Stegostoma tigrinum: one gene and its partners. The protein of the gene in region 2 purifies or fractionates together with the protein of the main gene of each other region. This does not show direct contact. Links are inferred from orthologs where the notes say so. Each region holds a gene or a part of one and is shown on either strand. Other genes may lie near its edges.

The links.
Region 1: the proteins of snrpe (region 2) and prkrip1 purify together in Homo sapiens (co-immunoprecipitation; 3 studies listed by BioGRID and IntAct, counting the BioPlex papers as one, with this or other methods). This does not show direct contact. The link is inferred for Stegostoma tigrinum from reciprocal best matches to the Homo sapiens genes SNRPE and PRKRIP1.
Region 3: the proteins of snrpe (region 2) and ddx46 purify together in Homo sapiens (co-immunoprecipitation; 3 studies listed by BioGRID and IntAct, counting the BioPlex papers as one, with this or other methods). This does not show direct contact. The link is inferred for Stegostoma tigrinum from reciprocal best matches to the Homo sapiens genes SNRPE and DDX46.
Region 4: the proteins of snrpe (region 2) and snrpa purify together in Homo sapiens (co-immunoprecipitation; 4 studies listed by BioGRID and IntAct, counting the BioPlex papers as one, with this or other methods). This does not show direct contact. The link is inferred for Stegostoma tigrinum from reciprocal best matches to the Homo sapiens genes SNRPE and SNRPA.

Annotation. Positions count from the first base shown.
Region 1 is NC_081380.1:2,597,338-2,604,939, forward strand, and holds the start of prkrip1 (PRKR-interacting protein 1 homolog), read left to right. Parts: upstream 1-4,602; 5' UTR 4,603-4,638; coding exon 4,639-4,749; intron 4,750-6,683; coding exon 6,684-6,762; intron 6,763-7,602.
Region 2 is NC_081374.1:11,214,701-11,222,186, reverse strand, and holds the start of snrpe (small nuclear ribonucleoprotein E), read left to right. Parts: upstream 1-4,469; 5' UTR 4,470-4,584; coding exon 4,585-4,638; intron 4,639-6,970; coding exon 6,971-6,997; intron 6,998-7,320; coding exon 7,321-7,383; intron 7,384-7,486. UniProt on the Homo sapiens protein: Plays a role in pre-mRNA splicing as a core component of the spliceosomal U1, U2, U4 and U5 small nuclear ribonucleoproteins (snRNPs), the building blocks of the spliceosome.
Region 3 is NC_081366.1:30,953,575-30,961,163, forward strand, and holds the start of ddx46 (probable ATP-dependent RNA helicase DDX46), read left to right. Parts: upstream 1-4,576; 5' UTR 4,577-4,681; coding exon 4,682-4,698; intron 4,699-7,589. UniProt on the Homo sapiens protein: Component of the 17S U2 SnRNP complex of the spliceosome, a large ribonucleoprotein complex that removes introns from transcribed pre-mRNAs.
Region 4 is NC_081392.1:9,170,228-9,177,207, reverse strand, and holds the start of snrpa (U1 small nuclear ribonucleoprotein A), read left to right. Parts: upstream 1-3,962; 5' UTR 3,963-4,146; exon of another isoform or gene 4,147-4,453; intron 4,454-4,495; exon of another isoform or gene 4,496-4,759; intron 4,760-5,632; 5' UTR 5,633-5,663; coding exon 5,664-5,736; intron 5,737-6,937; coding exon 6,938-6,980. Other genes in the region: actmap (actin maturation protease), read right to left, coding at 673-741, 2,384-2,622. UniProt on the Homo sapiens protein: Component of the spliceosomal U1 snRNP, which is essential for recognition of the pre-mRNA 5' splice-site and the subsequent assembly of the spliceosome. U1 snRNP is the first snRNP to interact with pre-mRNA.

The DNA of each region.
Region 1 (7,602 bases), on a different chromosome or scaffold from region 2:
GAGTATGTGTAAACTCCACACAGGCAGTCACCCAAGGGTGGATTTGAACCCAGGTCCCTGGTGCTGTGAGACTGCAGTGCTAACCACTGAGCCACCGTTCCGCCCCAAAATATATCATTAACAACTGGGGCCTAAGCACTGATCTCTATTTTCTCTATTCATTCACAGGATGAGGGTGTCACTGACTAGACAGCATCTATTGCCCATCATTAATTACCCAGAGGGCAGTTCAGAGCCAACCACATTGCTGTGGGTCTGAAGTCACATGTAGGCCAGACCAGGCAAGGATGGCAGCTTCCTTCCCTAAAGGACCCAGATGGATTTTTCTGACAATCAACAATGGATTCATGGTCATCATTAGAGTCTTAATCCCAGATATTTATTGAATTCAAATTCCACCATTTGCCATGGTGGGTTTTGAATCTGAATCCCCAGAACGTTATCTAAATCTCCGGATTAACAGTCCAGCGATAATACCAGTAGGCCATCACCTCCCACCTTGCAGTACCCCACAAGTCACTGCCTGCTGCTTGGAAAAGACCCAGTTATTCCCACTTCCTGTTTCCTGTCAGTCATTAATTTTTGATCCATTTTTATATATTAGCCCCTGTAAATGTGCCTTAATGATGTCCACTGCCTTGAATCTAGATGGGCGTTGCCTTGCACACCTGCTGTGATATCCAGGAATTGACTGATATCCCTAGTATTGGTGCCATCTTTACCCAGGTTTTCTGGGGCTACTGTGCACAATTCCTAACATTTGTCCTGGACACAGCACAGAAGTGCAAAATGGTGCCCCACTTGCTGGCAGGGACCTGAGGTTCTGGTGCCCAGAATTGGACACCACAACTCCAGACCATGTCAGCCTGGATGAGGTTGACACTCACGTTTTAGAATCATCGAATCATACTGTAGAGAACAGGCCCTTCAGCCCATCGGGTCTACACTGACAAAAACTACTCTAAATCTACACGACTCTTACTTTCTAGCACTTGGTCCATTGTCTTGAACTTAAAGTGTTCATCCAAGTACTTTGTAAATGTTGTGAAATTTTCCATCTCTACAATGTTGTCAGGCAGTGCAATTCAGAACTCTGCATCACTCTTGTTTTCCCCAAATCCCCTGTAAACCTCCTGCCTTTCACTTAATATTGTGCCCCTTTGTTCTTGATTCTTCAATTAAAGAGAACAGCTGCTTTCTATCAATCTGTCCATACCCCTCATAATCCTGTACACCTCAACCTTCTCTGCTCTGAAGAGAACTATCTAAGCTTATCCTTCCTCCCTTCATAGCTGGAATGTTCCATCCAAGGCAACATTCTGGTCAATCTCCTCTGCACTCCATCCTAGTGTCCAGAATTGCACACTGTATTCTTGCCAAGGCCTAACCAAAGTTCTGTACAGCCACGATATAATCTCCTTGTTTTTATAATCTATGCCAGGACTGAGATGTCCTGTATACCTTCTTAACTACCTTATTAATCTGCTCTGCACATTTAGGAATCTGTGGGTCAAGCACCTCACCCCCCCAACCACTGCCCCCGCCTAGATCCCTCAGTTTGTCTGAGCTTTCCAGTCTCCTAATTTTTATTGAGAACTCCCTTGTCTTGTTTCTCCTTCCAAAGTGCATCACCTCACTCTTATCAGCGTTGATTACCCTTTGTCACTGAACTGCTCATCTGATCAATCCATCCATATCATCCTGTAACCTAAAATCTTCTTCCTCACTGTCAACCAATCAGCCAGTCTTCACATCATCCTCAAACTCATTGTTTCCCCAAAGTTTTCTGCTACACTGTTATATATACATATTACAAATAATAAGCTACCCTGCACTGACCCCTGTGGTAGCTAGCCACTGCACACCGGCCTCCAGTAACCTTAACAGCCTTCTACCACCGCCCTCTGTCTCCTGTCACTAAACCAACTTCGGATCCAACTTGCCACATTATCCTGGGTCCCGTGTGCTTTTACCTTCTTTATCAGTTTCCAATGTGGGCCACTCAAAGGCTTTGCTGAATCCATATAAACTACATCAACTGCATTAAACTCACCTACACACTTGGTCATTCCCTTGAAAAGTTCAATGAAATTTGTTTGGCAAACTTCTGCCTGACAAAGCCATATTAACTATCCCTGACCAGCCCTTGCAACTCCAGGTGAAGATTAATTCTCTCCTTTAGAATTTTCTCCAGTGGTTTCCCTCCTGTTGATATAATTCCCTGGTTTATCTTTGCCTTGCTTTTAAAGTGGAATATTAGCGATCCTCTAGTCCTTTTAGCGTCTCCCAGGGGCCAGGCAGAAATTTAAAACTTTGGGTCAAAGCTCCTGTAATTTCTTCCCTCATCTCTGATAGCAGCCTAGGATACAACTGATTCAGAGGTGGTGGAACTAATGTATGAAGAGAGACTGGATCAATTAAAACTGTTTACAGGGGATTTAAGGAAAAACTCATTCACCTAGAGGGTGGTGGGAATCTGGACTGCACTGCCTGTGAAGGTAGTTGAGTCAATCTTTAAAATGTACACGGATAAGCACTTGAAATTTCATAACATTCAAGGCTATGGGCCAGGTGCTAGACAGCGGATTGCATATAGATAGGTTGGCACAAACTCAATGGGCTGAATGGCCTCTTCTGCACTGTATGATTCAAAGGAGTTTTGTGAAATGAAAAATTCTAATCAGATCAGACAAGGTAACTGCAGGAAGGAACAAAAACAAAGTTGCTGGAATGGCTCAGCATCTGTGAAGGAGAAAACATAGTTAACGTTTCGGGTCTGGGAAAACATCAGTTTATATGCAGAAAATAGGAAGTTGGGTGGGGCAAGGAGTAAACGATAGGATAGAGGCCGAAGAGAGAAAGACAGTTGGACAGACAAAGAAGTTCCTAACGATCAGGCCAGAAGGGTGAATAGTTGTTAATGGGGGCTGTTAGTGACTAACAACAGTGGGTGTGTAATGGCAGGCTATTTGGTAACAAAGCCTGCTGTGTGGAGTGGGCTGCTGGGACATGGGAGATTTGGGCCCTAAAATTATTGAATTCAATACTGAGTCCGGCGGGCTGTAGGGTCCCCAAGCAGAAAATGAGGTGTTGTTCCTCCAGCTTGTGTTGTGTTGCTTCCTTCACCCCCAACACCTCCCCACAGCACTACGGCGCCTTTCCCTGTAACTGGCTTCCCCCTCCCCACCCCCTCAGTCTGTACTGACTTCCACCCCGCCCCCTCAGTCTGTCCATTTACGTCCTCCCTTCCCCAGTATCCAAGGACCCAAACATACCTTCCAGGTGAAGCAACACTTCACCTGCACTTCCCAGAATCTCGTCTACTTCATTCGCTGCTCACAATGTAGTCTCCTCTACACTGGGGGAAATCGAAGTGTAGACTTGGCGACTGCTTTGCAGAACATCTACGTTCTCCTCGCAAAAAAGGCCCTGAACTACCTGTTGCTTGCAACTTCAGTGCACCACCCTGCTCCCTGGCCATCATCTGTCTCTGGCTTGCCACAGTGTTCCAGTGAATACCAACGCAAGCTGGAGAAACAACACCTCACCCTCCCAGCCGGATTGTTATCAATTCCTTTGTCCAGCTGTCTTTCTCTTTGGGCTCTATCCTATCGTTTACTCCCTACACCACCCACCTCCCTATTGTCTGCATATAAACAGATGTTTTTCCAGCCGCCATCAGTTCTGAGGAAGGGTCAATGGACCCAAAACGTTACTCTGTTTTCCCTTTCACAGATACTGCCAGGCCTGCTGAGCTTTTCCAGCAACTTTGTTTTTGTTCCTGATTTACAGCATCCGCAGTTCTTTTGGTTTTTATTTAAATACAGGAAGGATGTTGCCAATGACCAGTCGGTCACAGTCTAAGCACACCCGGTAGGCTATTTAAAACTGGGATGAGGAGAAATCTCTTCAACCAGAACTGTGGGCTTCTCTGCAACAGAAAATGGTTGAGGCCAAAACATTGAAGAAGTTAGATATAATTCCTCGGACTAAAGGGATTGAAGGGTATGGGGAGAAAGTGGGGACAGAATTGATGATAAGCTACGATGATATAGGAATGGTGGAACAGTTTTAATGGCCAAGAATCAGTACAGACCTGGGAAGGGGGGTGGGGGAAGAATCAGCACAGACTCTCGGCGCTTGGGGCGGGGGAAGGGGATGGGGAAATCAGCGCAGGCTTGAGGGAGCACGCTGCTAGCCTCTTCTGAAATAGGTCAGCGATTCACCTCCATGGTGGACAAAAAAAGTATAAAACTAAGACAGAAATTGCTGGAGAAACTGAGCAGGTCTGGCAGCACCCATGGAGACAAAACACAAGTAACATTTCGAATCCAGTGACTCTTCATCAGAGCGTGGAATCGTAACCCGTTAACTCTGTATCTTTCCCCACAGTTGGGTTTTGTGTCTGCAACGTGACCTCTCCACAATCAACAACCACCACACAGGGGCCCCGTTACTCTAAGAGGTAGTGAAGAATTGAAGATTAAAACCCCGATTTGTCCCGGAGGTGCACACCTACCGAATGAAGGGGCCGATTGACGAGAAACACAACGCTTATCACCCGGGGAGACCGGGGGCGAACGTCATCGCCGCGCGCCCGACTGGTGTTCAACGTCATCGCCGCGCGTCCGGCGGGAGATGGCGGACGGCGGTAAGCGGCCGCAGAAGAAGGCGGCTCAGCAGCTTGTCATCCCGCGCAGTGCGGCTGAGGAGCAGCGTTTGAAGCTGGAGCGGTTAATGAAGAATCCGGTTAGTAAAACCAGGGCCTGAGAGGAGGGGAGAAAGAAAGAAACAGCGGGCGTGGGGGAGGAGATGCGATACCGACACACACACACACACACACACACACACACACACACACACACACACACACACAGTTCTCGTGTGTGTGTGTGTGTGAACAAAAGCTTACAATTCCACCGAGGGTTGTATCATCGACAAAACTGATGTATCTGTTTCTTAGTCCAAGTTATTAATGTGGATTATAAGTGCTTCAGAGCTCTGTTAATCCTTGTGGCATTCTACTAATTACAGCCCTCCCAACTGACCCATTGCCCCTCCTCTCTGCGAGGTGTGTACCAAGCAATCAGCCACTCTCTTGTATTCACTCTCCTTTCATAAATGATAATGTTACACTTACTAACTTAAGGTTATTAGGTCTTTTCTGGATCCTTGAAAACTCGTAGCCAGTGCGTCCATTGCCTCTGTGTCTCTCTTTTTGAACCCAAGGACATAAGCTAGTGGATCCTGTGCGTTGTTGGGTTTTAGTCGCTTAATTTTCTCCAACATATTTTCTGTTAATGGGTACTTCAGGTTCCTTACATTTATTAGTCTCTTGGCTATCCTCCATTTATGGTATGAGTTGTTTCTTGTGTGTTTCCCCCCGTTCATTTACTGTCATGTTTTTAGTCTATTTAGCCAGTCAACTACAGCCAGCTCTACCATTTAATTTGCTTTAAGTTGAAAATTCTTATTTGGGACTACAGTAGTGAGTTTCAAACGTAGTGTGGAATTCAATGTTATGGTCATCCAGCTATTCTGAAGATGAATCACTGGCCTTGATACGTTGACACGTGCTTTCTGTCCCAAAGATGCTGCCAGATCTACTGAGTGTCTCCACTATTTCTGTTTTTGTCTGATTTCCAGCCCATGTAGTTCTTTTTTTTAACATAATGAACATTAGTAAATTAGGTTTAGAATTATTTGTTGAACTTAAGGAAGGGGTGAGTGGCAATGGGGACGAGATGGCGTGAGAATTCAGTGTTACCATAAGACCACCAGACAGGAGTAGACTGTTCAGTTGCTTGACCCTGCTCTGCCATTCAGTGAGTTTGTTGCTGATCTGATAGTCCTCACGTCCATTTTCCATTATTTTTCCTGTAATCCTTGATTCTTCTATTGATCAAGAAATCTAACTATCTTAGCCTAAATATACACAAGGGCTATGCCTCCACAGCTGTCTGTAGATAGATAGTCCAAAGACTATCAACCCTCTGAGAGAAGAAATTCTCATCTAGTTTAAACTGGCACTTTTAATTCTGAGACTGTACTGTCTGGCCCTAGACCCTCCCGTACTAGGAGAAAATTCTCTTAGCATTTACTTTTTCCAGTCCCTCAAGAAACCTGTATGATTCCATGCAATTCCTCCTTATTCTAAAATTCCAGTGAATAGACTCCCAATCTGTTTAGCCTTTGCTCATAAAGTAATCCCTCCTACCCAGGGCTTATTCAAGTGAAGCTTCTCTGAACTGCCTCCAATTAAATCAAATCTCTCCTTAAATAGGGGGAACAAAATTGCTCGCAGTCCTCCTAAATGTAGTCTCACCAGCACCTTCTACGGTTGCAGTGAAACTTTCCTACTGTTATATTCCAATCCCCATGAAATAAGAAACAACACTCCTTCCTGATTACCTGCTGCACCTATGTGGTAGCTTTCTGTGTCTCTTTGTGTTGCAGATTTCTGCAGTTTCTGTCCATTTAAGTATCATGATGTGTTTTTGATCTCCCTTTTGTGATGAACAACTTCACATTTTCCCACAATCTATGCGTTAAGTGAGAAGCAAGGGCAATTTTGCCAACAGAATGAATTTCTGCGCTTTTCTGGACCCTATGATAAATTGTGTGTGTAGGTATCAGTTTGAAATGTTTGATATTAACGAAAGTTTTGCACAAATTTCTTGTAGGAGAAGCAAGTGCCAATATTGGAAAAACCCAAAGACTGGGCTCCACGGCCACCACCAGAATTTGTTCGTGATGTCATGGGTAAATGTTGGTCTTTATCAATATTTTTGCTGGCTCTTTATGTTCCAGTCCCCTCTTTTCTAAAGCAATAAATTCCATTGAGGTTCCTGTACCTTTCCAAGTGATCTTTCTTCAGACTGTGTCAAGAGTCTGTGTAGCCCAAAAGCCGGTTCTGAAAAAAGACGACATTGCACAAAACCTGTTGGACTATAATCTGGTGTCGTGAGATTTCTGGCTTTGTCCACTGCAGTTCAACATTGGCACCTCCACAACATGAAACAGGATCTGTCTCCACAGAAACATTACTACATTTTAGATACTGAGGAATATGTAAAATGATGTACACTGAAGTTTGTTGAAAGGGCATTCAGACTTTTAGGGAGCACAATAGCTGTATGCAATCTTTCTGATACACTCAGTAACCCCTCACAGGAGATGACCCTGACCATGGATCAGTACTAACCAGCTAATGATTGGATGCTGCAGCCCAGTTCACTTCTCTCCTCTTCTTCACCTCTGCTTCTTCCTCCCAAAGCTGCCACCACCCTCCAAACCTGTTTGAATCCCAGTGGTGTCAGATAAACACATGAATAGGAGCCAGAGGAGGTCATTCAGGCCCTCAAGTCCGCTCTGCCATTCAGTAAGATCATGGCTGATCTGACGTAACCCTGCCTCCACATTCCCACCTATCCTAATAATTTTTTAACTTATTCTTTGAGAAAATCTATCCACCTCTGCCATAAAAAAATTCAAAGCCTCTGCTCCTACCACCTTTTCAGGAAGAAAATTTCAAAGAGCTGGGACCTTCAGAGTAAAAGTTACCTAACCGCTAAATGGGTGGCCTGTGAGTTTTTAAACAGT
Region 2 (7,486 bases):
AGCTTTCCTCACTTCTAATGAAGGGTCAACCTGATAGAGATAATAGGAACTGCAGATGCTGGAGAATCCAAGAAAGCAAGTTATAGAGCTGGATGAACACAGTAGGCCAAGCAGCATCATAGGAGCAAGGAGGCTGATGTTTCCTGCTCCTCTGATACTGCTTGGCCTGCTGTGTTCATCCAGCTCTACACCTTGTTACCTCGACCTGATAGATCTGCTTCATTACATGATTGGTGCCTGATCAGCTGTGAAGAAATTTTCTGTTCTTCGATCTGAGTAATAGTGAACAGTCATTTGTCTGAAAAATACAATGTCATTTCCCAGTGGTTGACTTCAGGATCACTGCATGTGGCAACTTTTAAGTCTGTACATGACACAAATTTGAGAAAGGTCGTAAACAAACTTATGGACTGGCGAAATGGGCAGATGTATGGTGGATGATATTTAACATATGAAGGTGAATTATTACATTTTGGTCAAAAGAAATACAAAGGCCAATTCAGGAACAGAAATTTGGACTGTCCATACATGTCTTTGAAAATAAAAAGCACAGAAAGCTATTAAAAAGACATGGAATTCTTTGCTTTATGAAAATGTCTTCTGCTCACAAACAGGCCCAGCTGGACTATTGAGTCTAATTCCATGGGCCGCATTATAGGAAGGAGATCTAGGCTTTCGGTGCAGAGGATCTTAATTAGTTTGATACCAGGGATGGAGAAATTAAACAAAATGTGAATTCAGTAAAGTCATTTATAACACCATGAAATATTTTGCTAGAATAACAGTAGGGGGACGCTTGATAACCGATCTAAAGTAACTGGTGAAAGAATCAGTAGTGACGGAAGGAGAAAAATTTAAAATACTGTGATTTATGTTCTATAATACACTATCTGAAAGGGTAAAGCTGGCACACTACAAACTTCCAAAAGAGAACTGGATATATGTGGGAAAGACTAGAGGGGTAGGATCAACTAAATAGCTTCCAACAACCTGAACACCTACCTTGTTGAACCTGACTACCCCCACCAGTTGCAGGGCATGCAGATTCACATTGGACTGCTAAGTCACCTCAGGATGCACAAATCAAAGCTGGAATAGCCCTCTGGAAATCAAGCCCTGCTAAAAGTTAAAAATGTTATCATAAGTTTCCAATTTTCCTGTCTGATCAACTCGTTGACAGAAAACATGAGCCAAACTCTCTACATAATGGGCTACTATTTTTTAGAATTGAATAGTTGTTTGTCTGTGGAGAGAATCAATGAAAAGCTGACATATAACTCTACTCTCTGATGAAGGGTCTAGGCCCAAAACGTCTGCTTTTGTGCTCCTGAGATGCTCCTTGGCCTGCTGTGTTCATCCAGCGTCACATTGTATCATCTTGGATTCTCCAGCATCTGCAGTTCCCATTATCTCTGATATAACTCTACTAACCGTTTTAATAAACACCTCCTACATACACATACATGCAAACAAAAATGACAGGTCTGGATGAAAGGGGATTGAATATTGGTGAAACAGTTCAAGGGCACCTATCTTCAGGACTCAATGGAGGAGTTCACTTTGTTTCCCAAGTCCTTTAGTTTTCTGAATTTATCCTTTAGGTTTTTCACTCCTTTATGGGAGGCACAGAGTGACTGATTCACAAATTAAAAGGTGTTTACCTTATTGGTTAAAAGCAATAGCTTATAGCAACTAATGAGATAAAGAAAAATGGCTTTCCTTAGCTTCAGGTATTTTACCGGCGAGAAACACACCACCTCCTCTTCCAGAGGTCTAATGGTTTCTCACTACTTGCTCAATGTAATAGTCAACCACAAATTGACCGGCATCCATAAACCAATCTGGTAGTTGTTAGGTCAATGATATTTAGCATCCATAACCGGTCGCAATTCCACAAACCAATCAGTTACTTGTCGCAGGCCAAAATCTTTGTACATGTGCCATTGTGCCACGCTATCTATTGACACCCTCCTTGAATGCACGCAAAGCAACAGTGTATCCATGACTTAAGACAGGTTCAGTAACTTGCTTTTAAAAGTATAGCAGTTTCTTCCTCAGTTGTTTGATGTAAAATAGTTCCCATTTCAATCCACAATCAAATATAATGTAACCTAAAAAGATAATCTCTTACATTACTGAGTAGAAAGAAATCATCCTTGGTCTCAAGGGTCTGGTTGAGAGGAAGTTTCGTTTTCTGAACAGTCAGGTTGAATTCAAATGTTTATCTGCTTTCTTACCACATGTGCTGTCATACCTGCTTATTTTCTCCAACACTTTTTGTTGCGTGAACAGCAGACCAAAATTGCAACGATGTCACAAAGTTACACATCACTGAATGTAAATAGCACATTGAGGGCATGGTTAGAACACAATGTATTACACCTCATTATACTACACTAGATTAGAACTTTAGAGTCTGGAAAGCATATGGACATGGACACAACAAAGATTAGTCCTTACCTAACATAATAATTCAGAGCCTTATTTATCTATGATTAGCATAAACAGCAGCATTTAACATGTAATGAACACGGAAATATAGAAAATAGCACAAAAGGCTATTGGGGTCTTTGAACCTGCTCTGGCATTCAGTATGATCAATAGTGTTGATCTGAAGTCTAAGTCTCAAATAGTCCTAGGCGTTGCCTTGTCTTCAATCAGTCTATGAAGAATACAGCGTTAATGGTGAGGCATCGAACCAGACAATAAGGAAGTGCTGATGATAAAACAAGACACATTTTGTCAGAAGTTTTCTTCTTGCACTCATTGAGAAGAAACATTAATTCCATGGGAAAACCAACATTCATCTGTTTGGGAGGAGGGTGCTAAAGGATGGATACATTGGCAAAGAAATTAATGCAACAAATAACTATCAGCTACAGTTAACTGCCAGCCACGGTTTAAATTTTAAACCAGATAGGTTGAAAGAATAAATATCTGTAAATGTTAGTTCAGTTTCCCTGGCCCCACTAAAAAAAAACAGATAATGCTGTTAATGAGAGATAATGGGAACTGCAGATGCTGGAGAATTCCAAGATAATAAAATGTGAGGCTGGATAAACACAGCAGGACAAGCAGCATCTCAGGAGCACAAAAGCTGACGTTTCGGGCCTAGACCCTTCATCACAGAGGGGGATGGGGTGAGGGAACTGGAATAAATAGGGAGAGAGGGGGAGGCGGACCGAAGATGGAGAGTAAAGAAGATAGGTGGAGAGGAGAGTATAGGTGGGGAGGGGATGGGTCAGTCCAGGGAAGACGGACAGGTCAAGGAGGTGGGATGAGGTTAGTAGGTAGGAGATGGAGGTGCGGCTGGGGTGGGAGGAAGGGATGGGTGATAGTAAGAACAGGTTAGGGAGGCAGAGACAGGTTGGACTGGTTTTGGGATGCAGTGGGTGGAGGGGAAGAGCTGGGCTGGTTGTGTGGTGCAGTGGGGGGAGGGGACGAACTGGGCTGGATTTGGGATGCGGTGGGGGAAGGGGAGATTTTGAAGCTGGTGAAGTCCACATTGATACCATTGGGCTGCAGGGTTCCCAAGCGGAATATGAGTTGCTGTTCCTGCAACCTTTGGGTGGCATCATTGTGGCACTGCAGGAGGCCCATGATGGACATGTCATCTAAAGAATGGGAGGGGGAGTGGAAATGGTTTGCGACTGGGAGGTGCAGTTGTTTATTGCGAACCGAGCGGAGGTGTTCTGCAAAGCGATCCCCAAGCCTCCGCTTGGTTTCCCCAATGTAGAGGAAGCCACACCGGGTACAGTGGATGCCTCCTGCAGTGCCACAATGATGCCACCCGAAGGTTGCAGGAACAGCAACTCATATTCCGCTTGGGAACCCTGCAGCCCAATGGCATCAATGTGGACTTCACCAGCTTCAAAATCTCCCCTTCCCCTACCGCATCCCAAAACCAGCCCAGTTTGTCCCCTCCCCGCACTGCACCACACAACCAGCCCAGCTCTTCCCCCCCACCCACTGCATCCCAAAACCAGCCCAGCCTGTTTCTGCCTCCCTAACCTGTTCTTCCTCTCACCCATCCCTTCCTCCCACACCAAGCCGCACCTCCATTTCCTACCTACTAACCTCATCCCACCTCCTTGACCTGTCCGTTTTCCCTGGACTGACCTATCCCCTCCCTACCTCCCCACCTACACTCTCTCCACCTATCTTCTTTACTCTCCATCTTCGGTCCGCCTCCCCCGCTCTCCCTATTTATTCCAGAACCCTCTCCCCATCCCTCTCTCTGATGAAGGGTCTAGGCCCGAAACGTCAGCTTTTGTGCTCCTGAGATGCTGCTTGGCCTGCTGTGTTCATCCAGCTTCACACTTTGTTATCTTGGATTCTCCAGCATCTGCAGTTCCCATTGTCACTGCTCTTAGTATCAGATGCCGCCTCCACGTTACCATAGCAGCAAGGGCCCCGCCTCCTCGTTACCATAGCAGCGGGGGCCCGCCTCTTCCCGAACGCGCCGCGCCGTGCTGGGGAAGGTCAGAGGTCACGGTGCGTGAAGCGGGAGCCGCCATTTTGTCTCCATTTTCTTTTTGTGTTTTCCCCCCTTCTTGAGGCGGTCGCCGGGTCGGAGCCGAAGTCATGGCGTACCGCGGGCAGGCGCAGAAAGTGCAGAAAGTGATGGTGCAGCCCATTGTATCCTTTCGGCGGGTGGGGAGGTGTTCGGATCTGAGGAGGGAGGGAGGGAGGGAGGATCGGCCCGTGACTGGGCGCCCCGGGCTCGGGCCTGAACCCGAGACTCCGGACCGGATCCTGTGCCCAGGCTTGCACCCGGCCTCGGGGCCTACACCCTGCCTGCCTCTCTTCTCTTGCCTTCCCTTCTCTCTCTTTCTTTCCCTGTCTGTCTCTGAGGCCTCCTCCCTGGGTCTATCCACCGTGCGATGGACGGCGAGCGGCTCCTCACAACAAGCTCCATGTGCCGCCCGCCTTCGTGCTCAGCCCCATTGAACAACGGCTTTTTAAATCGTTTTGTTTTAAAGTTATGGTCGTCCCGTGTTTTGTGGAGCCTCGGGCTGAGAGGGCCCGTTACCCTTGGGAAGTCAGAACAATGAGAGACGACCTTATTAAAATCTATGGGATTTTTGGCGTATTTGACAGGGAAGATGCAGAAAAGGTTGTATTAACTTGTGGGAAAGTCAAGGAGCATAGGGTATAACCTCTCACCGTAAGGGGTCGTACATTTGAGACAGAGATGAGGAGGAATTTCTCCAAGATGGCAGTGAATCTGTAGAATTCTTTATAGCAGAGAACTATGCAGTCTGTGGCATTGAGTGTACTAGAGATTGAGAAAGATTTTTAATCGGGCAAGGAAATCCAGGGTAACCGGGGTAAAGGCAGCATAACAAAGTTGAGGAAGGATCACTCGATCTGAAACACTAACTTTGATTTTTCTCTGCAGATTCTGCCAGACCTGTGAGCTTTTTCAGCAGTTTGTTTCTGTTGCTGAAGGTTCTCACATCAGCCATGCTCTCGTTTAATGGCAGAATTGTCATTGGGCTGGATAGCCTATTTCTGCTCTTGTCTTGTGGGAATTGTTCAAATTAGTGAATTGATGCAGCATGGTTTGTTGAGGTGGGGTTTTCAGCAGCGTAAGGCAATCGCTCAGCGGTTTTCTGTGGAGGGCCCTCACCAAATATGGTTGACATATAAGTAGCACCTTTAACATAGTATAAAACCAGGCCGCTTTACAGGAGCGTTACTGGACAAAATTTGTGTCCATGACATTTGACATATTTGGTTAACTGGCAAACTCCTTGTGAAAGAGGTAGACTTTGTGGTGTGTCAGAACGGGGAGAGTGCAGGGAAGTGGAGTTGAAATGCTGATCAGCCATGATTTAAATGGCAGCGTAGACTCGATGGGCCGAATGGCCTTACTTCCACTCCTATGTATTATGGTCTTGTAGAAAGGAGGAAAGTGAAGTAGGAATACAAGACTCTTGAGCAGCTGAATATGTGCAGTCATAAATAGCAATATAACCATAATTAAGGATGCTCAAGAGGCTCGAATCAGATGAGGGCAGACATTTGTACGGTTGAGCAAGATTACCTGCAGGAACTTTATAACAAGGATGAAAGTTTTCACATTGCAACATTTGTTTGACCAGGAGTTTTAATAAATTGATTGAATGTAGGATTGGTGGATTGAATGCATTATACAAACCTTTGAATTGAAGTTAAATACTACAGGATAAATTAAGTATAGTTGCTATGCATCATTTTGAATCTAGTTTATTATACTACCATTGTGAATCTCAATATTTGTAAGAGCAATTTTTGGTATAATAGTGTTATCCTGTTGTTATATCCTTGCTCAAGTGAAGGTACCAAGTGCACGTTATTGCAATGTTGCTGTATTCACAGGAGAATTTTGAATGTGGGCTTGGGAGCCTTATTGGGTGGAAACTTTTGTAAACATACTGAATCTAAACTATCAGGCAAATTAGATTTGGTCATTATACATGTGCACAGTCTCAGATGCGAATGTCACCTAGGTAGTGGAATAGCTGTCAGTACAAATTTGGAAGAACTGTTTCAGTGATCTTTGTAAGAGCTAGGCATGGACGTGACTTCGGTATTTAATTTTAAAGGCTAAGGAGAGAAATTCCACTGGAGTTTATCTTTCCTGATCCTCCAGGAAGTGCATTCTAGACACACTAGTTTGTGAATGTGGGATGAGGATAACATTGAGTTTATGATGGTGTGCAGTTGAATAGATTGTAGATAATTACTTGAGCGACATAATTAATGGCCATTTTAGAAAAGACGCCAATGTTCATGTCTATCAATAAACACATCAATACTGTAGCTGTAAACGGTTTTGAGGTAGGTATTATGCATCATTTTTTCATTAGATTGGTGACCATACCACAGACTGGTTATAGATAGCATGTGAGGGATACGCAGATCTTATAATGGAGATGTTCATTATATAATTTATAAATGTTGTCCTTAACTGAACGTGCAACAGAATCTTATTTTCAGGTACCTTCAGAATGTAAGTAAAGCTGTTTACTTTTAATATTTTACATAATTAATCATCATGGTAATGGTGTTTATCATACCTGTTAAGTGAATGCAGTTTATTAATGACTTTGCTGCAGTAATTCAGCAAAGGGCTGATTAAATCTCAACTTAATTGCAGCTCTCTTACTAAGTCAGAAGTCATGAGTTCATACCCACTCCAGAGACCTGAACACAGTCTTTTCTGACTCTAATACATGACTGAGGGAGCATTGCACAGCTTAGAGGCACTGTTTTATTCAAACTCGTTGGAAATAATTTGTTTCTGACTTGAATTACCTTTTTCCTTTACTCTAGAGATCCAGGATCCAAGTATGGTTATATGAACAAGTCAACATGAGGATAGAAGGCTGTATAATTGTAAGTATGAAAATTAGCCTGGAGTTCTGATGTGCAGTTAATTGACTTTTCACAATTCAGTCAGGCTGCTTTGGCTGACAGTTGACCAGCAAACCTGAAGTTG
Region 3 (7,589 bases), on a different chromosome or scaffold from region 2:
TCTTGCCATGAGGTTCTCATGTATCAAACTCACTTCCTTAACTACCTACCCCACATATATTGCCCCTCTTGTACAACTCTAGCCCTATTCTATCACTTGCTATTCCTGGAACAGTTTGCCATTGCCAGGATATTCTGAAACAAACTAACATGCTGCCAAGGATAAATTGTCTCCCTATTTTGAGGGCAGGGTCTTGGAAGTCCTAGTCAACAAATGATGCAGACGAGTGAAGTTTTCTTTCCCCAGGCCCAGCAGTGGAGGCCACAATATCAGACCCTATTGGTCTGGTTTTAACATTACCACCCAGGTCAGTCTAGATAAATCCACAGCCAACTAGGAAGAAGGTCAATGTCCTTCTTCATTCTACCAGCGTAAGTGCCACCACCTTCTCTCCAATGCATCACACTCAATCTATCTTGGCGACTGCACCCACCTCCCACTCTTATTACTGCCTGCAACATCTTCTGTCACTTGTTATTGCCCATCGCAATACCTGACAGCACGAACCATGTATGTCTTCTGCACTGCCTAAACACTCACTCGGGACACCTTGCTACCTGCATTAGTGTTACCCAATTTTATCCCCTTTTCACCTGCTCTTCTCTCATTCCAGGACGAAAATGGCCCACAGTGGGACAGGGAAGACCAAGTGGAGTGATGGGCTGTGATAGTCTCCTCATTCTCTATTTGGACAGGATTCTGATATTGACCACCCCAACAGACCAAGTAAACAGGTGGTGATGCATTGTGGCTCAGTTTATGAGCTGGGTGCATGTTGCTGAGAGCAAAGTATCCTTGCTGCAGTATTACTCTCATAATTACTATTGCATCGTGAAGTGCAACATTGAAATTCAAGAGCACTGTGCATGGATTAGAGGTGTGCCATGAGGCTTCTTCAAGGCTGGCACATTCTGGACACCAATGCCCATGGATATGGGGTGTACATTAGCATTGCCCATGAGATGCTGACAACTGTTCCCAACATGGAGGTTCTTCAGAGTGAGCAGTGAGCTGAAGTCACCAGGTACCTGCTTTGACTTGCATGTTGAATTATCTTGGTGACTAGTTTGCTCACAGTGGGTGGTAAATCAGGAAGCTGCAAATTTATAAGGTCAAACGTGCAGTTAATAACATCATTAACAAGCAGTACTCACCCCTGATAAATAATTTGCTTCTGTATAGCTAGAATTTTGCCTCAACACCCAGAATCTAGTTATAAGACGCAGCAGTTTTTCCCAACATGTCGCTTGTCTTGTGTGATTGTGGTAATTTCTTGCCATAGCCCATGGCATCCAGGCCCCTATTAGGTTGTGCCCCATGTCCGATTCTTCCTTTCCAATCATTTTTCTTGTATTTATCATTATCTCATCATCATTTCTCCTTCAGTTCTGATTTACTTTGAATGGATTCAGGTAAAATTCACTTAGAGAGTTGTGTATATCATAAGGAATGATCAAGCAAGGCCCAGTTGAGATTATGCAGGCAGCATGTAAACATCATGCCAGTGGGTCAATTCAATGATTGGGATTTGCTACACAGTACAAAATGCATGACCAACTCATGGTCACCAACAAGCTATTCTGGTCCACCCATATTGATATAATGGTCAAGAAAGCACAACAACCACTCTACTTCCTCAGGAAGCCAAGGAAATCCAACATGTTCACAAGGATTCTTACCAGTTTTTTACAGATACACCATAGAAAGCATCTTAACTGGATGCATCACAGCATGGCATGGCAACTGCTCTTTCCAAGGTTGCAAGAAGCTAGACAAAGTCATAAATACAGCCCAGTCCATCACACAAACCAGCCTCCCATTTCTTTGATTCCACCTGTACTTTTCGCTGCCTCAGGAAAGCAACCAACGTAATCACGTACGAATAGATTCTAGAACAGCTTCTTCCCCGCTATTATCAGACTTTTGAACAGACCTCTCAAATGTTAATGTTGATCTTTTGCTCCTTCTGCACCTTCTCTGAGGCTGTAACACTGTATCTGGCACTCTGTTCTGCTGCCCTGATACACTTTGTATGGTATGATCTGCCTGTGTAACACTCAAAACAATACTTCTCACTGTATTTTGGTACATGACAACAACCAATCAATCGACCAAATTGCAGCCAGACAGTATTTCTTAAAGGCAATCTGTTCTTCTTAAAGGGAGCAACTGGTGGAATTCTGTGCGAGAGGCTTTGAGGAAAGGATTAAAAATATCAATAAAACACAGTTCAGTGAAAGGGATTTTCTGAAAAGTAGTGGGAGGCTTTAATTTAAGGGATTGGAAAAAGTAGAATGGTTATGTCTTCACAGAGGGCCAGGATACCCTCAATGTACAACCTATGAAGGAAATGTGAGCATAAATGATCACATTATCAAATTCCAGAAGTCCAGTGCCCAGGACCTGACAGCAATGCTAGCAAACGTTCAATGGTCCCACATAAGTAAGCAAGGTCAATGAGTGTATCATTTAATGTCTCGTGTTATCCATCAACCTACCAACTCCTCACACTGTGTAATGCACACAACCCATTACTCTGCCACCAGGAATCTTTGGTATTCCTACACTCAAGCCCAATATTAGATGCTGCATTCATTCTCACACACTTATCAATAGGCTGGCAAAGCCTCCTTCTAATTTCACAAACCTACAGCTATTCAGTCATGTCAGGCATGTCACCCCAACTTGTTTAAGTATACTTACAGATATTCTTTCCTCTCTCCTGTAGGACAAGACAGCATATAGCAGAAGAGAGCAGCATAGACCTCACATGTAACAGGCAAACTTACAGCCCTTGAACCCTTCAGAGAGAAAACATTACACAGTAGTGATTGCGGACTTTGCATTCTGCAGTGTTGAGAATTCTTGGATGAAGGCATGCGCCTGTCTTACTCACTTTTAAAATCCCACCTCAGCCTTTCCTGCTGACATGTAGTGCAAACTGCAAAGGGTTTGAGCATGATTCTGCAGCTTTCCACTCAACACATTCCTTTACCTCACTTCAATCCTCCTCTTTTGCATTTCTACTTTCAGATACCCTAGATCTGCTACCTGACCAGTTAGTGGTGTCTCATTGCGAAGATGAGAGCAACAGCATGTTATAAAGAAATAATGTTACTGATAGGCTGACATAATGGCGCTGAATATAACTTAGAGGCATTAGCACTTTAGTGCACAAGTGGGCTGCAAAGCTTATAATGTTATAAGCCAAGCCAGAGGGAAAGAATAGCTCATGTGTCTACTCTCTGGAGAGTGAAATTGTGCATGACATCACAGATGAATCCTAAACATTGAAGATTACGAGCCTTCTTTCAGCCATGCTGCAGCCATTGCGACTACATATGAATACTCGGCCAGGCAAAGACACCTTCAAAACAGGCACCTAAGAAATGCAGCAGTGTGAATAATTTGATTTTGTACATATCATTGGAAATGCTGTCAGAGAAAGTTGTTTTAAAAAGACTTGCTCTGTGCTGTCTTTCATTTCAGGATTTAAGCCAAGAAGATGAAAAGACTCTGGACTTGTAAAACAATGATGATGTGGCAATGAGATTACCAAGGAACGAAAGTCTGAGAATCTGCTCAGAGACAACTCACCACCATCTGTTCCTCTTCTGCCTCTTCTTTTCCACATTGCCCACTCTGCTGACAGGGCCTGTGCCCTCATGAGGAAAAAGTTATAGACAATGCAATAGACCAACACAAATTTGTTAAATACTGAAAGGAATTTCAGACAATGGAACAGTTGTTCGTAACATTAATCATTTGTTCCACAATGTTATAAGCCTGCTATCAATTCGTGATCAGGTCCAACAGTCATAAGCCACATGCAAAGTCCTTGCCAACAAGCATCTTTGGTGCATCATTGTAATTCAAATATGGTATGGATGGTTGATTAATGCAGTAAGATTGCTGCCAGCAATGGGCTTTCATCAACTTGCTCTGTGACTGGGTACACACTAGCTACATTTTCAGTGAGTGTTAGCCCTTGCATTTGTGATGTATCCTGGAAGGTGTTTTCAGGGCCTTGAACAGTAAGGAGGGAAGAGGAGAATGGGCAAATGCTACACCTTCTGTGATTGCTTGAGAAGGTGCCATAGCGGGTGAGAGAGCATTCGGAGTGTTGCAGGAATGAACCAGGGCACCATGGAAGGAACTGTTCTTGTGGAATGCTGACAGTGAAGGAGAGTAAAGATGAGTTCAGCAGTCACATCCTGATGGAGGTGACAAAAATGGAGTAGGGTAATCCTTTGAATGCGGTGACCAGCAGCGTGGAAAGTAAGAACAAGCAGAGCCTTATTACTATTTGGGGAAAGAGGATAAGGGCTGAAGGCAAGAGGTGTGGGAGATGGGTCAGACCAGACTGAGGGGACCCTGAGACCGCGTTAAGTGCTCAAAGCAAACAAAATTGTTCTCACAAACTGTGGAACTGGATGGACATAGCAGGGCAAGCAGCATCTGTGCGGGTTCTCCACCGTCAGCAGTCCCCATTATCTCTAATACAAAATTTATCATCGGTCCCAATGAACGATAGTGTGGCATTAGGTCCTCCGGTCAGTCGGTGGCGTTGTTGCTGGAAGCCAAGAGGCTTTTTCTTTCTTCTTGGCGCTGTGCGCTCCTTCTTCATCGGATTGTGGCGAAGGTGGAGAGTTGCTGGTTTTGTTCTCTTTAATCGTTCGAAATGGGCAGAGAGTCCAGGTAGTGATAAATGTATTTCTCACTGCGGGTGGTTAATGGCGGGGAGAACAGTCTGACGGGCGGTAATGAGTGGTAGGGAGAAAGGCAGTTTAATGGAGTAGGCCTCAGACCTAGCAGTCACCCAGCCAGAACTCTCTGCATCGATTTATCGCCCCTTCTATACCACGATACTTTCCTCCACAGCACCTCCAGCAAAGGATAAACCGTCGGAATATTTCACTTTTTGAAAATCGCCTTTGTATATTTTCACGTCTGGTATTTGGTAGCCAGGAGGAGATATGTTTGCCACCTGTTGTGGTAGTGAACAAGGGGGCTTCAGATTCCTGATGGGTCCTGAGCAAGGGCAGTGGAAATTTCAAATCTAATCTGGTACCCCCGAGCTCAGGTGCACAGCTGGCACAATTTCTGTACCAGTTTAAAGGGGTACATGTATTTAGTTATTAGATGAAAATGGTTTTGGGAATGATTCGATAAATTTCGTGGTCACAAAATCAGTTATAGTTAAGTCGTTGCAAGTTCACATAGGGAACAACTTTGTAATTACACGCTATACCTTATCAGCTGTGTCTGAGTTAGATCGTTGTATGAGTTCAAGTCAAATTTCAAGACTTGAGCATCGAAATCCTGACTGACACGCAGCATTGAAGGAACATTTACAGACTAAGAGTTGTACACCACAGAAACATGTTTCAGTCCAACTCATCCATGCTGAACAGATTCCCTAAGTTAACCAAGAGCCATTTGTCAGCATTTGGCCCATATCCCTTGAAAGCCTTCCTATTCATATACCCATCTGGATGCCTTTTAAATGTTGTAATTGTACCAGCCTCCACCAGTTTTTCTGGCAGCTCACTTCATACATGCACCTCCCTTTTAAATCTTGTCCCCTCTCCCATCATCTCCTCTAGTTTTGGATCCTCCCAGCCTGGGAAAAGACTTTGACTATTCACCTTATCTAACCTGGTCAGTCCTTAGCCTCTGATGCTCCAGGGAAAATAGCCCCAGCCTAATTAGCCTCTCCCAATAGCTCAAACCCTCCAATCCAAGCAAAATCGTTGTAAATCTTTAATGGACCCGTTCAACAGGAAGACCAGAATTGTATACAGTATTCTAAAAATGGCCTAACCAATGCCCTGGACAGCTGCAACATGACCTCCCAATTCTTATACAAATGCACTGACCAATAAAAGCAAGCATACAAAATGCTGCCTTCACTACCCTGTTTACCTTCAAAGAATTATGAACCTGTTTGGCAACACTTCCCAGACCCTAAATAATGCATAAGTCCTGAGATAAGAAGGTGTAGAGCTGGATGAACACAACAGGCGGAGCAGGAAGGCAGACGTTTCGGACTAGACCCTTCTTCATTTTCTGAGGTCTAGGCCGGAAACGTCAGCCTTCCTGCTCCTCTGATGCTGTTTGGCCTGCTGTTCATCCAGCTCTGCACCTTGTTATCTCAGATTCTCCAGCATCTGCATTCTTGCTATCTCTAAAGCCTAAGTCCTGACCTGATTTACATTATACCACATGTTTATCTAAATGAATTTCCATTTGCTACTCCTCAGCTCATCGGCCTATCTGATCAAGGCCCCATTGTACTCCGAGATATCCTTCTTCAGAATTCACTACACCACTAATTTTGGTGTCATCTGCAAACTTACTAGCCATTCTTGTATTCAGATCCAAATCATTTATTTAAAAGGGAAAACATTGTCAGAGGTGCTAACTTTTGTTAACTTGAGGACTAGCCTGCTCTTCTGAGCAGAATGGCACAGGGAATTGGCTGTAGTGTCATGCTGGTATTTAATGTGCAGCTAATATCTTAGAGCAGAGTGGTAATGACCACATTGTTCTCTATGCGACAGTTTGCTATACACAAACTGGCTGCTCTGATTTTTTTATATTCACTCATCGGACATGGGCATCACTGGCTGGCCAACATTTATTGCCCTCGAGAATGTGGTGGTGAGCTGCCTTCTTAAACTGCTGCTGTCCATGTTACTGTAAGTTGACCCAAAATGCTGTTGTGGTGGGAATTCCAGGATTTTGGTGCAGCAACAGTAAAGGAATAGCCATATATTTCCATGTCAGAATGGTGAGCAGCTTGGAGGGGAACTTGCAGGTGGTGATGTTCCCATGTATTTGCTGCCCTTGTCCTTTGAGATGGAAATGGTATTCAGTTTGGTGCTGACTAAAGATCTTTGGTTAATTTCTGCAGTGCATCTTGTATATAGTGCACACTGTTGCTATTGAGCATTGCTGATGGAGGGAGTGGATGCTTGTGAATGTTGTGCCAATCGAGTTTTCTCCTGGACGCTGTCAAGCTTCTTGAGCGTTGTTGGAGCTGCATCCATCCAGGCAAGTGGGGAATATTCCATCGCACTCCTAACTTGTGCCGTGTAGGTAATGGACAGGCTTTAGGAAGTCAGGAGGTGAATTTCTTGCCACAGTATTCTTAGCCTCTGACCTACCTTCGTGGCCACTGTGTTTATGTGAGAAGTCCAGTTGAGTTTCAGTTGTAATCCCAACGATGTTCAAGAAAGACGTGGAATCCTTGGAAAAGGCACAGAGGAGATTTACCAGGATGTTTCCTGGAATGGAGGAAAGGTCTTACGAGGAAAGGTTGAGAGAGCTAGGGCTTTTCTCTTTAGAACGACGAAGGACGAGAGGTGACTTGATAGAAAAGTACAAAATGATCAGAGGTACAGATAGAGTAGACAGCCAGAGACTATTTTCTTGGGTGGAGGTAGCTATTACAGGGGGCATAGTTTTAAAGCAAGTGGAGGTAGATACAGGGGAGATGTCAGAGGTCTTTACTCCTTGGCCCATCGTGCATTGATGTTTTAACTTTACCCAATCATGACTCCAGATGACTTGGAAATAGCTTAATC
Region 4 (6,980 bases), on a different chromosome or scaffold from region 2:
AGGCAGAAGAAAGGTCCACAGCACAGCACACAATGCAATCTCACATGCAGGCATGAGATGAATGGCAGTCAATCTGCTTTGGGAATTAGTTGAAGGTTGAATATTGGCTAGGACACAGGGAAAAAGCACCCACACTTGGCAGATTATGGAAGGCAGCATTTATAGGTGAGAGAAAAACAGAAAAACTACCCGTGTTCTGATGAAAGGTCATGGAACAGAAACATTAAATCTGTTCCACCAGAGGTGATGCCAGACATTGCCAACATTTTCTATTTCATAGAATCCCTACAGTGTGGAAACAGGCTATTCAGCCCAACAAGTCCACATAGACCCTCTGAAGAGCATTCCACCCAGGCCCATTCCCTCTACCCTATCTCTGTAATCCTGCATTTCCTGTTGTTAACCCACCTAGCCTGCACATCCCTGAACACAATGGGAAATTTAGCATGGCCAATCCACCTAACCTGCACATCTCGGGACTGTGGAAGGAAAGTGGAGTACCTGGCGGGAAACCATGTAGACACGGGGAGGATGTGCAAGTTCCAGTTGCCTTAGGATAGAATTGAACCTGTGTCCCAGGCACTGTGTGGCAGCAGTGCTAACCGCTGAGCCTCTGTGCCCCCATTTCTGCCAGTATGCACCAATGTAGAGAAACCAGAATTAGATACTTACTGTGGACCATCCTGGATCAGCGAGGGTACATATTTATTAATAAGGAGCCATTGCAAATCTTTGTTGAAGCTGGAAATATGAGAAAATCAGAAAAATGTTCAGCCATTGGAAAAGAATCTATCACTTGATAGCACACTTGGGCTCTGATATTAAACTGCAATAGTACATGAGGATGCACTGTTAACCTATAATAACACATAAAGGATGCATTGCTTAGTCTATAAGAGGGCAGTAACTTGGCCAAGCCATTAACTTCGCACAGTATACAGAGTGTTACAACCAAGATTGGAGCGGGGCATCAATTTCCCTTTAGTCCCACTCCTCCACTGGTCATAATGAATTTTAAACTGTGTGGTGATATGGCCAATTCAATAGGCTTTACATTGTATCTGACTTAGTGCTAGAAATAATTCAGCCAGTTTCTTAAGTTAACAATTAATACCTAGTTTATTACAAATAAAACTTACTCAGACAAAAGTGTAAATGTAAACATCAAAAGTGATTGAGTCAGATCCCATGGATTACTCAGCAACTACCTACCCACCCCTCCCCGCTCTCAGGATGTCAGTGACATTGTGGGTTACTAAGTCTCATTTTAAGACTTCACTGTTGAAGAACTGGCCTTTAAAGTACATCAAAAACTACTCCATCATGCATTGCCTCAATGATTGCTCAGTTTCTGGTAGCTCACCACCTGTTCCAGGAGTGACACTCCTCTGGATTCTGGAAACCACACTCTAGCATCGTCACAGGTGCAAATGCATCTTTTTTCGTGGACAGCTAGCTTTATCAAGTTAGTACCGCCCTTGATTTATTTTTCCTGAGCTCTAACATTTGTCAGTTGTACAAAGTGTTACTTGTGGGTTTCCATAACCTTGCTCACAACTGTATTGAAATATTAATGGCACGTGGCTTTTTCCAAGGTCTCTCAGCCCCTAGGACGTACCTGAAGACCAAACTCCAACACATAGCTGTACCGACAATCCTAGATCTCTTTCCTGAGTTTTGACCGCAGAGTTATTCGACTGTGTTTGACTTCTCAGAGATGTTTTTAGGAAGTTGTACTACACTTGAAATGTTAATTGTGTCTCTCTACAGATTACAGAATCCCTACAATATGGATGCAGGCCATTCGGCCAACTGAAGCCACATCAACCCTCCAAAGATGCAGTTGTTCATTAACATGCGGAAGGAAGCAGAACACCATTGCTTCAATTAGAAATCACATTGATGATGTTGCCTAGAAGGGTAACAGAATGTCTGCACACCACAGAACAACCAGCTCAGTGCGCTAATGAACAACTGCATCCACAACCCGAGCTACAAATTTTCGCTAAGACCTTAAAAACCATTTAAAGAGTATCCCACCCAGACCTCGCCTATCCCTCCATTTCCCATAGCTAATCCATGTCTGGACACTATGGGCAATTTAGCATGGCCAATCCATCTAAACTGCATGTCTTTGGCCAGTGGGAGGAAACTGGAAACCCATGCAGACATGGGGAAGAATATGCAAACTCCAGACAGTCACCCAATGCTAGAATCGAATCCAGGTCCCTGTCGCTGTGAGGCCACTATGCCACCCATATGCTGCCAGAACTGCTAGGTTTCTCCAGCACTTCTTGTGTTTCAGGTTTCCAGCATCTCCAGAATCTTGCTCTTATTTAAACAACTGTGACAAACATGGCTCATAATTTTTAGTTTTATATACCTGTTAGGCCTGCTCTGGACCAGCAACTTCACCTCCTCCCAGTCTCCAGTTACTGGTAATCGGTCTTGAGCAAAAATCTGGTATAATTTATTTTGTGATGGTTCAGAAGGAGGGGACAGAAAGGGTGGAGGGAGGGGGGGAGGAGGAGGAGGGACTGACAAATAGTCTGTACCATCAGATGTGTCACTGATGAGATTTTGCTCTCCTTGTGCCATTTCAACATGATGGAGGTGGGACATGGCAGCCCACTATTTAACGTTTGGCTTTGACTTGATAAATTGGAGCATCCCACAACAATTTTTACGAGTAAGTTGCCTCAGTAACTAGTACACCAAGGGTCAGAGATACTGTTGTAATATTTGCCTTGGAGGAAAAAAAATCATTATCATTTATCACTTATTGTTCCAGAAAATATTTGTCTTTTATATTTAATGGGGGAGTTAGGGGCAGGAGATGGGGTGAGTGGTGGAGGATTTGGGAAAGTAGTCTCAGTGGGAGTAATGAAGACTCCATGTTGAGGGAGAAGGGGGGCATGGAATAACTGCATGACATTCAACAATTTAAGAAAAATGATGTGAGGTCCATCAGGAAATCACAGACCCGTTACTATCTGCTGTCAATAAATTGCCTGAATCCACAAATTCAAAATTTCTGAGCATAGAGCCAGCACAGATTTATAAAGGGTTAGATAGCAGGGAATAGTGCTAGTTGTAACAAGGACTGGATTTGCAGAAAAGAAATCAACACAGAAGAGTGGGCGAACAGTGGTTGGAAGCTGGGTCAGTTGAGGTAGAACTGGTATGGGACATGGGGTAATTTGGGGATGAAGTAATTAGGGAATGGGATGGCTGGATGGAGAAACAGTAGTTAGGGAAGGGGTCGATTAGGGATGGTCAGGGAAAATGAAATCATTTGAGGGATGGAGTAGTTGTGAAGGGGTGAGGCAGGGGTATTTTGAGGTGTTGGAGGCAGGGTGGGATGATTGGGGTTGTATAGTTAGGTAGAGTGGAGTGATTCGGGTATTGTGGAGAGTAACGGGGCACTTTGGGGTGAGGTGTGATTTTTATTGTGGGATTGGACTGTGCAGTTTGGGGAGGGGTGGAATGGTTGGAGTAGTTTGGGATGTAACTGAGGGATGGGAATAGTTGGTAAGGTGGCTTTTGGGGTGAGATTGGAGTTGGATCGCTGGGGAGGTTGGAGGGCGATTGGTGATGGGGTGGAATGGTTTTTGGGGAGAGGGAGGGGATTGAGGTGGGTTGGGGTTATTTGAGGTGTTTGGTGTTGGGGAGTGTCGGATAGGGGAATAAAGTAATTGGGGGATAGGATGGATGCAAGTGTGTGTGGGGTACTTAGGAAAGCGGAGGGTCGGGAATTACTGAACACGTTCTAGAACATTCCGTCCCTGAATCCCACTCTACATCCCGCGATTGGCCACGGTGGAATGGCCAATTTGATTGACACCGGTCTAGTCCAATCAGTTCTCTCAGATCGGGTCTGTGCTGTTGAATGGACCCAGACCGTTAGCGAGTCACTGATTCCCCTCTCCCGCCCTCTTAGCCGCTCCTTCTCGATCTCTGTTTCTGTTTCTGTCCTTTCTCACTCCCCGCCGGAGCCCGAAACGTCAGCTTTTGTGCTCCTGAGATGCTGCTTGGCCTGCTGTGTTCATCCAGCCTCACATTTTATTAGCTGGGGAAACCATCCGGGTCCCGCGGGGACACCGACCCTCCCGCCTTCGTCTGATTGACGGGACCGCGGACAAATCGGTGAGCGGCCCCGCACCAGGGCCGGCCAATGGGAGCTGGCCGCGGGGTGAGGGGGTTGGACTTCCGTCGTGGCGCGCGGTGCTGGCGGTTAGGGCCCGCGACCATCCGCTGCCATCCCCCAGCGTTTAGAGCCGGCGGCCGCCCGCAGTTAGCCTGATCGTCTCTGTGTGCGGGAGCTCGCATCGCGTCGCACGGTCGGTTCTTTAGAGCCGCGGTCTCACCAGGTTCGTACGGAGCAGCCTGCGGCGGAACCACGGGTTAAAGCTTCCGCCGACGGGCGGTAGCTTCCGGTTCAGGGCCGATGGAGGTAAAGAGAGGGCGGAGGGTTGGCTGAGAGGGAGAGAGTAGGCCAGGGGTAAAGGGTGAAGGGTGGTAAGGCAAAAGGGAGGGCTGAGTGGCTAAAGGAATGTGAGAGAGGTTGAGTTGATGGGTGGGCGTCTAAGGATACAGCGTATGCCAGAGGAGACTGAGATGATGAGAAATTCCTCCACCCGCAGACTGCTACTACTGTGGTTTTCTGTGGTACAGAAAACAGGCCAAAATACTACGTTTCAAGAAGGAGTTGGATTTGGTGATTTGGGCTAAAGGGATCAAAGGACATGGGGAGGGAAAGGTAGGGTCAGGTTGTAGAGTTTGATGATCAGATGTGGTTGTAGAGAATTGTGCAGCAGGCTTGAAGGGCCGAATGGCCTCCGCCTGTTTTTTATGTTCGTGCACAGAGGGGGCTGTGTGAGCTCTCAGAAGGAGAGGGGGGTAGGCTGACCTTTCCCTCAGAGGTGGGGGAGAGAAGGGGCTGTCTTGCTTCTCAGAGCGGGTGAGCTTGGATGAAGGATGTGAGAGAAGGGGTTGTTTAGTAATCCTGTCTCTGGGTAACGGGCAAAGGAAGGACAATACGTACTCTTAACTTTGGGATCTAGGATGGGGTGTGCTTGAGTTGCTTTAGAGCAATTTAGGGATGTGACTTACATTTCTACCACTTATAGCCACACATTGGGCTGCAGTCCTTTGAATCTGGGAGCGGTGTTAGCGGATGAGAATGGATACGTTTGGCAGCCACCTTTTGTCAGCTTTGGTTCTGCACAGTAACCACATGTAATGCTAGCATGCTGAGCAGCATTTCCTCTCAAAGTGTGTATACAACCACAGTGATTAGTGTTGTTTTGCTGATCAAGACATTGACTTCCAATTCTGGAAGTTGCTGCTGCATTGAGGCTTTGGAAGTTCAGGCAGCCATTAAAACAATTAAGGAGTGTGGTGCTGAACTACAGTGAACAGGTTGAATTCTGCTGATCATCCTTGGTCTGGACTATCAAACCTTTTAAGATTTATTGAATGTCACAGCTTGCCATTGTTGATTTTGAGCTCATGATTTCTGAGTTGAGTTCAACTCTGAGATTTGCCATAATGAAGTTAGAGAGAGGTTTATTTCTTTTGAAGAGTGACATCTATGAGACTGACTTTCACTTGTGCTCATTTCCCCCCTCAGTTTTAATTTTAGTTAGCGCAAGAGTAGAGCCATGACTACCCAAGAGGCCCGTCCAAACCACACCATCTACATCAACAATTTGAATGAGAAGATCAAGAAAGATGGCAAGTATTCAGGGATAGTTCTGGTTCAGCAGTGTATTCGGGTATGTTTGGGTTGGGGACTTCGAGAGCATTAGTGGGGTCTAAGACAATAAATGCTGGCACAGTTAGCAAAGTGTGTACTGAGAGTGAATTTTAACAAACTGCTCCTCATCCCCTCATGTTTATTTAGTTTCTTAAAGGAAATTTCTCTCAACTATCCCTGCGGTGGGAAGTTCTGACTAAGCATAGCTTAAAACAACTTTCTCCCAGTTTCTTTATTGGAATTATTAATAAGTACCATGTATGACCCGTTGTTTCGGAGTGTTCAACAGCCATATGCAAGGACTGTTATAGAGTCGTACAGCATGGAAACAGGCCCTTTGATCCAACTCGTCCATGTGACCCAAATTTCCCAAACTGAACTAGTTCCAACTAACTCCTTTTGGCCAATATCCCTCTAAACCTTTCCCATTCATGTACCTGTCAAAATGCCTTTTGATTTATACATTTAAAAGGCATCCTGAAGGGTATGTGAACAAGAACGGTTTACAGGGAAATGGGTCTAGATTAATTTAGGGTATCTAGTCAGCGCGGACGAGTTGGACCAAAGGATCTGCTGCCATGCTGTACATCTCTATGACTCTGTGTTGTAACTGTACCTGGATTTGCAGCAGTTGCCGTTGAGTCCCTTCAAATCAGGCAGTTGTCTATTTTGTTGAATATGTCCCAAATGTTAAAGACCATAGTGCTAAAGATGACCCCTCCCTGGCTCTAGCCTCTTTGTAGAAAAAAGAGCCCCAGTCTGCCAGTCATCTCTAACACAAACATATCATTTAGTGTGAGTTAACCACTCAACCCCTAAAGTCTGTTCATTCTTTCAATAAGATCATGGGTGATCTGATAACTCCACTTTGCTTACCCACAAAACCCACTCTCCAAATATGGTGTCTCCAATGCCCTGTATAAATGAAGCATAACTTTGTTTTGTAACTATAACCATGGTTCTGGTGTCATTCTTGCAAAGCTTTGTTTGCATCTTCTGTATTGTTTTTGTAAGAGGTTGACTGGGCTTTGCACAATATGACATTATGAATCAACCGCATTTACTGGACATTCATGAACTTGAATTGTGGTTTCAAGTTCACGTTCAAGTCTGGTCGCAATTGTACTTGTGACTGATTTGAAACTGAAGTTGATTGTGTTATGTTTCTTCTCTTTCTAGAGTTGAAGAAATCGCTGTATGCCATTTTTTCCCAGTTTGGTCA